Rhinolophus ferrumequinum: one gene and its partner. The protein of the gene in region 1 purifies or fractionates together with the protein of each later gene. This does not show direct contact. Links are inferred from orthologs where the notes say so. Each region holds a gene or a part of one and is shown in the gene's direction. Other genes may lie near its edges.

Region 1 (7,710 bases):
CCACCAATATGACAAATATAGTTTTTCTTTCCCACATCACCTCCATTCCCCCATCCCCCTTTGCAGTGATCACAAGGCAAGGGCTGTAAGTTCCAGTGCCAGAAGGAAGGCTGGTTCCCAAGTTAGAACGGTAAAGGCGCTTTCAAACTTGATGTCATCCCGCAGGTGGAAGTGTCTGGGTGTAGATGGAGGGGGGGAGGAGTAGCAGCTGAGGGGAAGGGATGACTGAGCCGGTTATGTCATGTAATGAGGGGGGCCCGAGGCGGCATTCACGCCTCGAACGAGGCTCAGGGCCAGAGAAGAGACTGTCTCGTAGGCGTAGCTCCATTATATGGACCGATGCCTGATGGGGACGACACGGAATGGAGGGTCCCGGACGGTGAGGATCGATTTCCGGGCTCTCGATTCTATGCATTTGGTTTCCACATGGTTCTGATCACCGTAGCTTTGCAGGAAGTTTGAACCGGGAAGTGTGAACCCAACAAATTTATTCTCCTTTTTCACGACTGTTTTGGGTGTCCCGGGGCCCTTGTAATCGTATAGTACTTAGGGTGAGCCTGGTAAAGCCAATGGGGACTGTCATAGGGGTTGTGTGGAGCCGTCGGTCAATTTGGGGAGCACTGGTATTGTGGCAAGACTGAGTCTTCTGATCTGTGAACCCCAGGAACCTTTGCATTGACTTAGACCTGCCTTCGGTCCTTTGACAATGTTTTGTAGTTCCCAGTGTCCAAGTCTTATAATAAATTGGCTGAATTTATTCCCAGATACTTTGTTCTGTTTGCTGCTATTTATTACAAATGGGATTGTCTTCTTTATTCCATGTGTGGACTGTCCATTGCTCGTGTATAGATATAAAATTGATTTTCGTACCTTGATCCTGTCACCTGCCAATTGCTGCAGGTGTCTATTAGTTTCAGTAGGTTTTGGGTGTATTTCTTCGCGGTTTCTATGCACTATGTCACGTCCTCTGCTTCCCTGTCCAGTACAGATGCCTTTTTCTGTCTTCATCTTGCCTACGTGCCCTGGCCACAGCCTCCAGCGACGGAGAGTGGCTGTCCTCGTCTTGTTCCTCCCCTTAGGGGAAATGCTTCCAGTCTTGCACTTGGTAATGCTATCAGCCAGCGGCGTTTTTGAAGGTGCCCTTTATGAGACGTTCAAGGAACCCTTCCATTCCTGAGGTGTCGAGTGTTTTCATCAGGATAGAGTGCTGGGTTTGGTCAAATGCTTTTCCTGCAACTGTGGAGATGATCCTGTCCTTGACTCCATCAATGTGGTGCGGTGCATGGATTGTTTTTCGGATGGTAAAGTCTTCCTTTTGTAAGTAGGAAGCTGTTCCCCTCAGGGCCTGCCTTTGAGTCTCAGCCAAGTGCAGTGAGGGTGGCTGAATCCCCTTTGCAGCATTCTCTGCATAAACAGCCTCTGTTCCATTCATCTGGGTGGTCTCGGTTTACTTCCACAGGAAATCAAGGCACAGGGCGGGGTTCAGTGATTCCCCCTGAACAGAAAGCATGTCCCAGAAGAGCAGTGAGTCACCCGTCCTTGGAGTTGGGCTTGGCAGTGAAGTCTGTCTGCCCAACAAGCTTAAAGGAGGCAGTGGCCTCCAGCATGCTGCTCCTCTCACCGCCTCACATTCCATGGCACCACTGCATATGGGGAAACTGAGGAACCAGCCAGAAGTCACACGGAGGGAAAGAGACTCGGAGCTGAACACACCGGGGCAGCAAGGCCCACTCTTTGCCCCGCCTGTCCTCAGGACCTCAGCCCCGCCCATGGGCTGGTGGGCGGGGCAGGCACAGGGAGGGGTCTCCCACGCCAGGCCTGGCGCAGGCAAGCCTCTCCCCTCTCTCCATCGTTCTCTGACGCAGCCCTTCTGGGTCTGTGTGTCTCAGAGCCTGGATGGAAGCTCCAGGCTGTGGGCCATCCAGCCCACAGTGGGGCTCTGGGGATCTTTCCCAGGACGCAGTCCCTGAGGCCCACCTGCCCCAGATCACACTGCCACACATGTCATTGCTACTGTGATGTTCAGTGTTGTGTGTTTGTTAACGTGACTGGCCACAGGGTGCCCAGATGGAATATTATTTCTGGGAATACCCGGGGGTGTCTCCAGGTAAGATTAGCATTTGAACAGGTGGACTCAGTGAGGCAGTGGCCCTCCCAATTGGAGGGCTTATCCAGCCCACTGAGGCCTGAGTAGAACCAAAGGCAGAGGAAGGGGGGACTCTCCCCTTTTTCCTGCCTCATCCCATGAGCTGGGACCTCTCCTCTCATCTCCAGCCTTCGGTCTGGGATTTACACCATCAGCTCCCTGCTCTTGACATCTGGACTGAAACTAAACGCCCCGCTGTCTTGGGTCTCCTTGCAGATGGCAGGTCCTGGGACCTCCCAGACTCCATAATCACACGAGCTGGTTTGTAATAATCTCCTTTATAATCTATAGTACATCACACACACACACACACACACACACACACCTCCTACTGATTCTGTTTCTCTGGAAAACCCCGGTTAATGCACTGGTCCCCTTCAGTCCTCACAAGGTCAGTTGGTGGCCCCTGGCACTTCAGAAGTGGTCCCTGCGGACAGCCCACAGGTACCAGCCCCTGGAGGTGGTCCCGACCCTCGAGGCCCATTTTCCCTGTGAATGCAGGTCCCACTGTGGGGCTAAGGCAGTCTGCTCCCACATATGTCCCCATTCAGGTCAGAAGTCATGCCTGTGGTGCCCCTGCAGAAACCCGCCAATGGCTCCCACGACAGTCAGGATTGAAGGAGACCTCACACTGGCCTTCAGGCCGGAGAGCCAGCCACCTCACCCTTGGCCCTGACCTCCTTGGGTGTGGCCCTCTTTCCCTCCTTCTGCTCCCGCCCTACTAGCATCCTTTCTGCTCCTCCTACCAGTCTCCCATCTGCCTGGAGGGCAGAGCTGGCTCTTTCCCACTCTCTAGGGCCAGGACTCATTGTGGATCCTCCAAACCCGCAAGGAGAGGAGTGCCCCGCCCCTGCCCTCCCCACCCCCCACTCCATGACTCTTTCAAGCCTCCTGGAAATTTCCTCCCTCCCCAGTCAACATGAGACATGATCATCGTGAGGCAGCATCTGTCACAGGCCAACAGTCCTTGAGGGAAGGGGTCCTGGCTGGTCAGCTCCCACAGTCAGTGCCTGGAATTGCAGCTGGCAGGTAACAGGCACCACTAAACATCTGCCACATGACTGAAGCAAAGCACAGACCAGGCTAGCCAGGTGTGACCTGCTCTGGGGAGGGCTGGCCAGCGACGCAGCGCAGTGGGCATGCTTCTGCCCTGCTCCCTGAGGGTGGGCTCAGTGTCCTCCTGCTCCCCCCACGGGGCCCAGGGAAGGCCGTTCTCTGAGGATTCACCCCACTTCTTTGGCAGTTGACCTGTAACTGGACAGCGGGGAGCTGTGGGGAGCGCAGGACCCCCAGGACATCAGGGCAGGCATTTCCTTACACCAACACTGTCCTGCCTCCTTTTCAACAAAAACAACCCTGGCAGACCCTCAAAGGAAGAAGACTTCAGTTACTTTTATTATGTCACTTGGACGTGCATAAACAACACTAGGTGTAAACGTGTGCTTGGAGCTCTCATACACGCGTGAAGCCAAAACAAAATTTAAAATTAACCACCAAGAACACGACAGCTGAGCACAGATGAATACGACAGGGCTCCTCTGTAATGTGGCCGCCTTTGCCTACCCGCGGCCATCCAAATTTACTACAATGAAAACCTCAGTTCTCGGCGGGGGCACTGGCCACGTTTCAAGTGGGCAGTAGTCATTTGTGGCAGTGGGCATTTCCATGGCTTCATCTGCTTGTCACTTTGCTGCAGACTTGCTCTGTCACCTGGGGAGAAAGCATCCCTCACTTGAGGAGTCACCTGTCTACCTCCTCATTACCCCGGGCAGTGAGGGCAGTGGGACCACCCTCACTTCAGGAAGACAGCAGCATCTGGGCGACCTGGCACCACTGACACATGCACGAAATACGTACAAGACATTTGGAGGTTCTCCTACAGGTGGCTTGGGCTTCCTAGACAGTTAGCAGTGGCCTAGGGTACACCTTTCGAAACAGATTCTTCTAAGAGTGGTCAGCGACTCCCCGGACCACGGGACAAAAGGGTTTGGATGCCTAGAATTGCATTCCAGGATCTTCAGGTCGAGGTCCGCTTACTCTCAGGCCTCATCGCCCACCCAGGTTCCCATTCCCGGGAGCGATGCGAATAAAGGGCGCTGCTATCTTGGCTTACGTAGCCTTTGCTGGCGCATCACCTCTTCCAGGAAGCCTTCTTGGGTAGGTACAAGGTGCCTGAAGAAGAATTGTGGGAGAAAGGGAGAGGTTCTTCCCTGGGCATCCTCGCCGCGGTCCTGTCGCTGCGCCCAGCACAACGCGTCTGGGTCTGGGGTCCTGGGGACACCAAGTCCTCTAAGTGTGCGTGCGAGGGGGAGGGGTTGCCTCCGGGGCCGCGGGGCCGGGGACGGAGCAGACGGGGGCGGAGCAAACGGGGGGGCGGTGTCTGGACGCCATATAAGTGGCGGAGCGGGGCGCGCGCCCGGACCGACAGCGAGCGCGCAGCGGCGGCTCCGGCCTCACGTATCCCAGTCCGGCCTCCCGCGCCACTCGTCCCCGCGCGCCCGCTGCCTCCGCGCCCGTCGGCCGCCGTCTCAGCCCCCGGCCGCTCACCAGGTCCCCAGGCCCCGCGCCCCTCTGCCCAGGACCGGCCCGCGCCACACAGGCCGCCCGCCGCCCGCGCCGCCATGGGGGTGGAGGGCTGCACCAAGTGCATCAAGTACCTGCTCTTCGTCTTCAATTTCGTCTTCTGGGTGAGCCCCGGCCGGGGGGGGCGGGGCGGGGGCGCCCCAGAGCAGAGCCGCGGGCCGCGCGCCCCGCTAGGCCCCGCCGAGGGGGCACGGCCGGGCCGCCAAGTTGTGGGGCCACCTGTGCGCGCTGGGCGCGGGGTTGGGGGTCTTGGGCCGGCAGGCCAGGGCAGTGGGGGTCGTCTGGGAGCGTCGCGACCCCTGACGGCGGGGCGGGGGGCTGCGAGCCGGGTTTGGGGGCCTGTGGGCGTCAGGGCCCGGGTCCCCGCGGCCGGGCCGGGGCGTTTGGGGGCCTCAGGTCTGTTCCCGCCTGGTGATGGTGATAGGTGGGGTAGATGCGGGCTCCGGGCCGCGTACTGGGGCTGCTCAGCCCCCTGGATGCTGTTCCTGGGACCACCCTGCCTCGCGGGGACTGGGGGGGGGGGGCTTGAGGGCGGGTCTCAGGGCGTCCCGCCCCCATGAGCTCATCCAGGCCACCGCCCCTGCATGGGCGGCCAGGTTGGGGGTGCACACGCCGTCCGAGTCTTGGGTACTGGCCACCCCACTATTGGCCCAGCCCAGCTCACCCCCCAGTCAGCTGTCGTCACCCTGGGACCGTTCTTGGGGTCTTGGACTGGGGTGAGCAGACAGGAAGCACACTGGGCCGGGTGTGGCCTGTGTGCTGGCGTGCCTGCACCGTGGTGGCCCCCGTGTGTGGGGCCAGATCCCCCTGCCCTTCTCACCCAGACCGAGATTCCAGCCAGGCCTGGCCCCCAAGGTGGTGGAGGCCTGGAGAGTGGGGATGGGGCAGTCCCTTCCAGTTGGCACAGGGCAGGGGCCTGAAGACCTGGGTGTCCCTGAGCTCTGGGGGCCAGGGGCTGGCCTGGGACTTCCACTGTGGAAAGAAGCACCCACAGGATAGTCCTTTTGGGATTTTCCTGACTTGGGTGTAAACTGCTGGTCAGTGACTGATGGAGTTTTGCTTTTGTTTCCATTTCCTGTCAGTGTTGGGACCGGAGAGGCGGTGGAAGGAGCCCCTCTCATGATGGCCGTGCCCTCCTCCCTGGGCAGTGACTGGGACCCCTCCCAGGCTCCTCCATGCTGCTGCCACGCCTGGCTGCTCACCCCGAGTATGTGGGGTGGGAACATATGCTTCCCATCTGGACAGCCAGGACCCAGAGCGGTTCTCGGGCAGCAAGGGATTTGGGGTCGAGAAGACAGAGACTGGACTGAACTCTAGCTGGGGGTAGAGTGCGGTGTCACATCGACCTAGGGGACCCCTGGAGGCCACTGGCCTCTGCCTTGGGGGTGGGCCAAGCCTGGCCCCAGGCAGCCACTAGGGCCTTTGAGGGGTGGTGTCGTCCTGGATTTAGTGTTTGCCGGCTTTGGCCAGGCAAACATAGGGGTCAATGGGGCACCCAGATGCCCCTCTGCTGAGCCTGGATATGGGGGCGAGGACCCTGGCAGGGCGGTAGAGGGTAGGCACAGGAAGGGGACTTCTCCAGGAGTAGATTCTTTGTCTTTGGGCCTGGTGTCTGGGCTGTAAGTCCCTCCCACCTGCCCAGCTGGGGAGGTCTGCAGATCAGGCCCCCTGGAGCTGGCAGCTGGGCCAGTCTGGTAGTTTCCCAAGCAGCTGGGGTGGAGGCTCCACACGTCCCTTGGGGCTGTTCTTTATTGAGACTTAGGGAAATGTTTCCGAGGCCTGTCCCCTCCCTCCCACTTCCAGCTGAGCACTGAGAACTGTGTCTGCACCGTAGGTCTCCATGGTCCAGTCACCGTGGCCCCACCCACCCATGCCGGTTCACCCCCTCTGGTGAGGGAATGCAGAGCTGAGCCTTGTGGGGCTGGGGGCACACCCTGCAGGAGCCCCTCTCTGCACCCCGCTCCATCACCAGGCTGAGCCTGGTGCAGTGGGGTTGGGCTTGGGCAAAGTTTCCCTCCCACTGCTCTGGTCCTAGCCCCCAGCTTCTTCCCCTCTAAAGTGGGGTCCTCCGAATCCTATCTCCTGGCGTTGCTGGTCGATTGGCTCACAGGTAGGGGCTGAACTCAGGAAATGGATGTTGGGCCAGGTGGCCAGCAGGAAGCCTGCTCAGCGTGGTCCCGGTGGAGGCAGTGCCTTGGGGAAGGGTTTCAGGCCCCTACGTGGGGCTCCCAGTGCCCAACCTGACTTGCTAGCTGGGCACCCCAGTCACAGTGCAGGAGTGGCTGCCAAGGGTGGGAGCCGGGAGAAGAGGGTGACAATGGGTATGTGGACCCAGAAACTTTGTAAAATTCCTTCTTGGGGAGTAAGTAGAAAGGCAAAGGCCCCAAGCACGTGGGAGCAGGCCTGAAGGTGGCCTGGCGTGCTTCTCCAGGAAGGAGCTGGGTCACCCTGCACACTTGCTCTCCTGCCCTGCCGGTGCTGAGACCCTGGGGCTCCCCAGCCAGCCAGGTATCAGGTTGGGAGCCGGAGCCAGGCAGCATGGGACCCCTGCCCATCGGGGTGGGACAGGGGGCTTCCTGGCAGAGGGGGCCGGTACGGTACTGGAGCAGATGAGGAAGGGCACAGGCTCAGATCCCTGCTCACCGCACTGGACTTGGTGACCTGGGGCAGGCGGCTGGCCTGCATGAGCCCTGCTGCCCTCACCTGGGAAATGGGCATGATAAGAACCCACTTCTGGGGGGCTGGCCAGGGAGCCACTGGTCCTTGCGGGGAGAGGAGCAGAGCGTTCCTTGCCTGGGACTGGCTGCCCGTCCGCCTAATGCAGTTGGTGGCTGCCTTCCAGAGGCAGGGTGGCCAGACCCGGCTGGGAACGAGGCTGATTAGAAGCATTGCTAACTGGCATTTAATTCTCACTTCCAGACAGCACATGACTGTCTATCTCTTAGCGGTTCTGTCGCCTTCCTTCCGGGAGGAGGGATGTG
Region 2 (7,482 bases), on another chromosome or scaffold:
CAGATAATACACAAAGAATATTTTTTCAGTACAAAGAGGTTCCTTCCATGTAGTATTTGGGACTACTAAAAAAGTATTCCTTGTTTATCTGAAATTCAAATTTAACTGGGCGTCTTATATTTTAGCTAGCAACTCTACTCTGGATACATTTTAGTTTGCATATGTTTTTAAAATGGAGCACCTAGAACTTAAGATAATGTGTCAGTTGAACCCAGAAGCAGAGCTCAAGTAGGTGAGAAAGGCTGGAAGGGGAAGGAAAAAGGATATGGCCCACTCCTTCATCCCCCACCACCATGCTTCTGTGTGAAAAGTAGGGTACAGTGTGCTCATGGAGGGCATAAAGCCCCCTCCCCCAGCTCAGTGTCAAGGCACAAGTGGGGTACCTCTGTGTAGCACCAAGATTGGCAGCCCTGGTCTTAGGTAAAGAATCTCTTCCAACATCTCAAAGTCCCCTGTAGCTATTTCTAACTTCTTTTTCACAATCAACTTGGCTGTCTGTATTCATTGTGGGAGGTTATTTTTAGCTCAAGTGGGTAGCATATTTGCAGAATACTACACACAATGGTTTGTGCCTCTCCTATCTACTTACCTCCCTTTGAATTTTTTTCTCTTTCCTGGCATCAATCCTTTGAATTTCTTTGTAGTACTACTGATCTTTTGATACATTCAACTAGAATATAAGCTCCTGTAGGACAAGGGCCAGGTACACTGTTAACATAATAATAACGCCTCCCTTTTGTAGAGAGCTTTAACTGCAAAAGCCTTGTCTCATGCCATTTTCTTATTTTCTCCTCATACTCTTCTACCCCAGGATCCCTGTAGGAGTAAATGCTACAGGGTGGGTGCCTGGGGACACAGCTGGCCGGGTGGAAGTGACATTAGGGCAGTTCTAGTCATCTAAGAACACTTTCTCCACGAGCTCCCATTTCAGTCTTTTAAGGCCAGAGGTCACAGAGCAAAGCCCAAACTTCACTCATTCCAAACAGAGGAGACCCCTTGCTGTTTTTGAAGCTCCGTCAGATGGATATTCCACAACTTCCCCCAAGGCCTCACGAGTATTAAATGACTCTCACTCATCAGGAAGTGAAGGCTTCCTCTCCCACCCTTCCCTTTTTGACTCTTAATTCCATTCTCTAATTCTGTGATTAAATCTTAAATTTCTTTCTGATTAGTAATCCCCAGTGTAATTTCACTAGGGGACATAGACACCTGGAAACAACACGAGGACTATTTTCATGAAAATGAGTAGGGGAACGAAAGGCCACGTGTGGTAATACTCCATCGCCTGCCACTCTGATGAACGACATCGCGTCAGGGTCATCTGGAGACTGGGTCATCTGGTGGAGGTGGCAAAGCGCGCACACCAAGGCTGGGTGAATCTTGCGACCATCAGCCAATTCATTCCTTGGGACCTTTCACATTGCCATTCTCCACTTTAAATAATAAGGTGAATGTATTGATCTTAGCAGGAAAAGCAGCTAGCAGTATGAGGGTGGGGACCCTTAGGAGATTTTCAGGGGCAATGTGTAGAGGCGGACACGTGTAATCTGGCTGTTGTGACCAGAGCCCTCTGAGGGTCATTGTGACCTGGCCACGGAAACCTGTGGTGGGACTCACCTCCTTGGGGATGAGTGTGGGTCAGAGTTGCTGGAGAGTGAGCCTTCCTGTCCCAGGCAAACCCATAGACAACCAAACTAAGAACAGTTGACTGCGGCAAAAGCCTTACTCTGGCATAAAGATGTCTTTCGTAACACAAGCATCATCAGATTCCGGAGTCGTGAATTATAACCAATTGTGCTGGTCTGCTGTGGGTGCTGTTTCTTTCGTGAGAAATGTATTTTATCCTTTGGTCATCAGGGCTACCCAGAGGGTATGGTGGTTATGACCAACTGTCTGGAGTTATTCTTTTATGCTCCTTTTCTGCTACAAAAACAGCTGTCGTGGGCTGAGTCTCATGACACAGGTGACTGCCCGCGACCAACGGCTATCCATTTCAGTCCTCGTGTTACTCACCCTGCCCTGAACAGTTTCATTTTATATTTCTATTTCAATTACTAACCACTGTTATTTCCATGAGTGTAAGATGCACCATTCATTTAATAACACCTGGGGGTGGGGTGGGGAGGAAATAAGAATCCTGAACACATTAAATATGCACCATCTAGTGTCCGCTCATCCCTACGCCTCATAGCTAAAGACCTACTAATCCTTCAAGACTCACTTCACAGTCATCCCCTCTGAGAAGCTCTTTTGACAACCTTCCTCAGGACTGACCACTCCCTTGTGTCACAACTGCACCTTACCCAGGCTGCCACACCTACTATAGTCATGATGCACAGACTGTAACCACCTCAAGGGCAAGAACTATCTTATTCATCTCTGGCTTCCCAGAGTCTAGCCCAGTGCCTGACATCACATTTGCGCTATACACATTTGTGGAAGACCTACCATGTGCCAGGAACACTCCTGACTTGCACGTGTCTGTTAAATGAAAGATTTTTCGCAAACATCGACTGTGCAGTACCATGGGAAAGACAAAATGAGAATGTGACAGTCTCTCTGGCACTTCCACTATTATAGCGAGACGGGAGCAGGATGAATGCTGTGCTGTCCTAATCAATTTGGGCTGCTTAACAAATGCCACAGGCTGGGGGGCTTAAACGACAAATGTTTATTCCTCACAGTTCTGGAGGCTGGGAAATCCAAGATCAAGGTGATGGCTGATGCATTTCCAGGTGAAGGCTCTCTTCCTGGTTTGCAGACACATACCTTCTTGCTGTATCCTTACCTGGCACAGGGATCATCTCTCTCCTCTCTTTTCGTAAGGGCACTAATCCCATTCAGGAGGGCTCCAATCTCAGGACCTACTTACCTCCCAAAGTCCCATCTCCAAATACCATTGGGGATTAGGGCTACAGTATGCGAATCTGGGGAAGTATAAACCTTCAGTCCATAGCATGTGCTCACATGTATGTGATTAAGTGCCAAAACGTGTGGTTCAGACGTTAAGTGCTGTGGGTAGTTAAGAAAGGGAAAGATCTGAGCTTCTGCAGGGACCAGGCCTTACTCTTCTGTGTAGCTCCAGCATCTCCCAAAGCCTAATGTGAGGCTTGCGTTTCAAGTTAATTGAATTAAACTGAAAAAGTTCCCAGAGAAACGCTCGAGGATTCTAGGAGACGGGAAGGAATTGCAGGATGGGTGGACAGCATGGCAAAAGGCTTGGTGGCAAGAACGAATTAAAAAACATTTTTATAAATTGTGTTATAGATCACATAGAATTTACCCTTTTGCCCATTTTTAAGTGACGGTAAGTACATTGACATGGTTATGCCATCAAGGATGAAATTTGGAGTCTCTTTCAGAAGGGCTCATAGCCGGGTGATCACACATTTGTTAGCGGAATAACAAACACTTGTCAGTGGAAAGAATAATGCCTCCGCGTAAAAGTGTGTTTCTCTCCCCAACTTAGGCAGTTTCCCCACTAACATCTGTGATTTGTTTTGCATCTATTAGTGTGAGACTGTGGTGTGTGTGGGGGGGCAGGGGGCCCAGTGCTGCTCCCAGTATGTTTAAATTATCCTTGTGAAGTTCTACACAATGAACACTAAAAATTTCCGCCCCCAAGACTGGGCCTTTTGTATTCAAATCAAAAGCACAAAACCCTATTGTGGGGGGAAAAAAGGATCTATTGGCCACCAGTTGCGACCACTTAAAGGACATTCCATGTAAAGTACTGTAGCTATTAATACACTTGAGTGTTTTCTTTTTTGTTTTGTCTTTCATGGGCGTGTGTGAGAAGTGTTCTCGTAGCCCATAGGCACCACGGAGAGGGAAGAAGGTGGGCGAGGGACGGTGAGGCCCACCCAGCCGCAGGGCAGTGAGCAGAGCTGTGAGATTGGGGTCCTGGTTTTGCCACTTCGCTGTGAATCCTTGGACAAGTCACCTAAACACTTAAGGCCGCTGTACCACAAGGAGGATGTTATCCATGGCCTTTAACGTGCTTCCATGTCTTTCAGTCCTATCTGAATAATTTTTCGCAAGGGCCACGCTGCCTGGTTGGTGGGGTGCTTAGCTTGGGACCTGGGGGTGAACGTGCGGGCAGTTAGCCGAGGGAACAGGAGACAAGCGTGGGTGATTCCAGAGCGGTGGAACGCTGGGTGTCCCAGAAAGGAGCTAAAGCGATGGGATTTCCAGACGAGTCTTTCCAAGGCCAACTTTTAAAGGTCGGAGGAAAGTTTGTCGTGGGGCGGGAGCCCGAGGGGAGAGCTGGGTGGGCTCCGCCGCCTCCTCCCCTTTAAGCGGGCGGTCCCGGCGCTCGCTCCGTTACCTGGAGCGGGGAGGGGCTTGGGAAAGTTTGTGTTTGTTGCTGGCAAAGCGCCCGATGGGAGGCGCGGGCGGGCGGGCGCTGCGGTTCTTCCCTTTTGCTTTCGGGAAGCGGCCGGGGCTGCTGGCTCGGCGCAGCGGGGCGGCTCTGGCGCCCGGCTCCCGGGGCCCGGCCGGCCGGAGGAGGGCGGGGAGGAGGTAGGCGGACCGGCGGGAGCGCGGGGCGCACGTCCGCCCAGCGCTGGGATTGCTCGGCTGGCGACGAGAGCGGAGCAGGCGCGCGGCCCAGGCGGAGGAGCCGACTCTGGAGCAGCCGGAGCTGGAGGAGGAGGAGGAGGAGAGGCGGCGGGGAAGGAGGAGGAGGCGGAGAGTCACTCCCGCCCGGCGAGCATGGGGCGCCTGGCGCCCAGGCCGCTGCTGCTGGCGCTGTTGTCGCTGGGTGAGTGCGCGCGGGGCTTGGCGGGGCGCGGGGACCGTGGGGCCCTGGGGGTTCGGCGGGGCGCGGCTGCAGCGCGCGGCCTGGGGCGCCGAGGGTGCCGGGGCCACTCCCGGGAGACCCGGCCGGGGGACGCGGGCGGCGCGGCCCGGCGGGGAATGACCGCGGGGCCTCCGGGAGCGAATCCGGCCCGGCAGCGCGCGGGGTACCTGTCCCGGCGTCGCCAGGCCGAGCCTCGCCCCCCACACGTGCGGGGGGAGTGGCTCGTGACCCGCTGCCCCCAGCCCTCCCTACCTGTTGGCCGCCCGGAGCCGGGCTCACCTTGATCGCAGGCCCGGAAGGTGCCTGCGGTCCCCGATCAGTGTCCCCAGCTTGGGAGCGGAAATATGCGCCTTTGATCTACCTGGTGGTAGTCGAGCCCCGCCGACTCGCTCCTCACACACAAACCCAGGATGAGTTGCCTTTCTTGGGAAGCCAGACAATCCACCAACTTCCTTCTACGAAGGTCACGAGGTGGCCCAGAGCGCTACAATAGAAATCAGTGTGCGAGTCCTTCTGTCATGTTGGCTGTGGTTAGAGCTTCTGCCTGAGTCTTTTCCTTTATTTCTTCTGGAAACTGCCTAGCTCCATATTTACACACAAAGACCTACGAGGCTTGGCTTCTCCAACTTTTCCTACCTGTTACTTTTTCTGCCTTTCCTGTCCCCTGTCTTCCACCCTTCGCAAACCTCGGTGCCTCTTGATAAATTGGCCCAATGCCCTCCCCCAACCCAAGGAATCTTTGGTGGGTTTTTTTCTCTTCGTTTTCCTTTTACTCCATGCATACAGACACCATCTTCAAAGCAGATACATATCGTTGTCTTGGTATATTAACATAACTATGTGGGAATCAGCCACAGAAATACATCTGTTTATTAAGTGCCCACCGTGGTGCCCCAGGGCTGACCCTTATGTGCTTTGATATTCTTGAATCCTTTTGGTCTGTGTCAGAAGAGAAAGAATGCTGTTACCTGACCACCGGTTTCCTTCCAAGCCTTTGGAGAAGGCAGATCAGAATCTTTTGCAGAGTGCATGGCGTGGGGTGTCTGTCCCAGCCAGGCCCCAGCTGCACACGGGGTAAATGACTACTCTGCACTTACGGTCTGAGGGTCCCAGTGGAGGACCTCCACAGCCGCTCCCATCCTGATGGCTCCAGGGCACCCACTGTCCCAACCCCCATGCCTCTTGCTGCTGGTGGGCCAGGCTTTCTGCTGCTACTGTGTTCTCTTCGCCTCCGAGGGGTTTTCTGGAACTCACTCCCCAAGAGAGCTTATCCAGCCACATTGTTTTAGCTGCGACCATTTGCAGAAAGCTTCCAGATCTTTCACTTAGTTTTGAAGCCTCTCTTCTGTGATCTCGGATCCTAGGGCTTTTATTCTTTTCTTTTCACTCTGGGACCCTTGTAAGATCGTTTGTTTCGTACTGCTGGTGATAGTCCATAATAGTTAATGGGCTCATGTGTTTGGGTCAAACAGGGCCATGGCTAATGGTTGCACAGACTGTGCACTGCACAACTGGGAACTGCTGTTCACTTCATAGTCTCTGTGAGAATGACTCCCCCTAGAGTTGTGCAGGTCACAACCTGTGTATCAGTAAAGGTAGACGTTTGGAAAAAAAAATGCCCTTGAATAGCTATGATAAGGGAGAAAAAGGGAGAGAAGAAAGGGCAAAGGGAGAAAATAGAAGTGGCAACGCAAAAACAAGTGGAGGAAGCGCAGCTTGGGGAGATCTTCATTATGTACCAGTGTATCCCGCCCTGGCTGGACATCTCATGTTAACTACACACGGGTAATGTCTGTGGTGTCCCCAGCCAATGTCTTATCCCCTAGCAGGTCCCTGAACTTGAACCTGATAACTCTGCCCCACAGAACCTCACTCCGAATGGCTTCAGTCTGACCTTCGGGGAGGCCTCCCTATTGTACCACTCTAGTACTGTCCTGATTCCTGAAACGTAATATGTTGATAAGCAAGATCGTCTTTCCTCTCGTATTGCAACCGGGGCATAGTCTTGCCGTCACTTTCTTTGACTTCCATGTTCACTCTGTCCCTCAGTCCTGTGGCTTTTCCCATAGCGCAAACTCCACGGTTTTCCCGTCCTTCCTGTTTCTACAGCTACTATTCTAGCCCAAGATGTGATACTTCCCCACACGGTTCACTTCTGACATCTTCCTGGTTGACTCTTTCCACCAGCCTCCCTTCTAAGGTCATCATTTTCCTAAAGGATCAGCTTTGGGGGTCCTGCCTTTGTGTGCTGGTTTTCTTTTTCTTTTCTTTTTTTTTTTTTTTTAGGACTTTTTTTTTTTTTTTTTAAGAAAGATAGGCTTCCCCTTGTGTTCTCTCCCCTCTGCTCTTCTGTCTTGATTCAGACACTTCATTCTAAGTAACCTGTTTGCTCTCCTTTACGTAGAACATTTGTGAGCCTTCTGGCTCTTCCAGGTCCTTTAGCCTCGGAATGTCCCTCCTGCTTCTCTCCTCTTGCCTGGGTTCCTCCTCTTGCCTGGGTTCCTCTTGCCTCCTATTTCCTTTCCCCCTAAAACTCACTGCCTGCATGAAGCTTTGCTAAGTCTACCGATCACCATCTCATCAACTTCATATGTCTGCCTCTGTCTGACCTATCTTGTTTATGCGTTCAGTATAGCATTTCTCAAATACCCGTAAGAATCCATACGGGTGTCCCAGACCAA

The links. Proteins that work in one complex are often made in the same cells at the same time.
Region 2: the proteins of CD81 (region 1) and PTGFRN purify together in Homo sapiens (co-immunoprecipitation; 7 studies listed by BioGRID and IntAct, with this or other methods). This does not show direct contact. The link is inferred for Rhinolophus ferrumequinum from reciprocal best matches to the Homo sapiens genes CD81 and PTGFRN.

Annotation. Positions count from the first base shown.
Region 1 is NC_046294.1:1,565,979-1,573,688, forward strand, and holds the start of CD81 (CD81 antigen), read left to right. Parts: upstream 1-4,572; 5' UTR 4,573-4,767; coding exon 4,768-4,833; intron 4,834-7,710. UniProt on the Homo sapiens protein: Structural component of specialized membrane microdomains known as tetraspanin-enriched microdomains (TERMs), which act as platforms for receptor clustering and signaling.
Region 2 is NC_046305.1:47,024,744-47,032,225, forward strand, and holds the start of PTGFRN (prostaglandin F2 receptor negative regulator), read left to right. Parts: upstream 1-4,374; 5' UTR 4,375-4,713; coding exon 4,714-4,762; intron 4,763-7,482. UniProt on the Homo sapiens protein: Inhibits the binding of prostaglandin F2-alpha (PGF2-alpha) to its specific FP receptor, by decreasing the receptor number rather than the affinity constant. Functional coupling with the prostaglandin F2-alpha receptor seems to occur.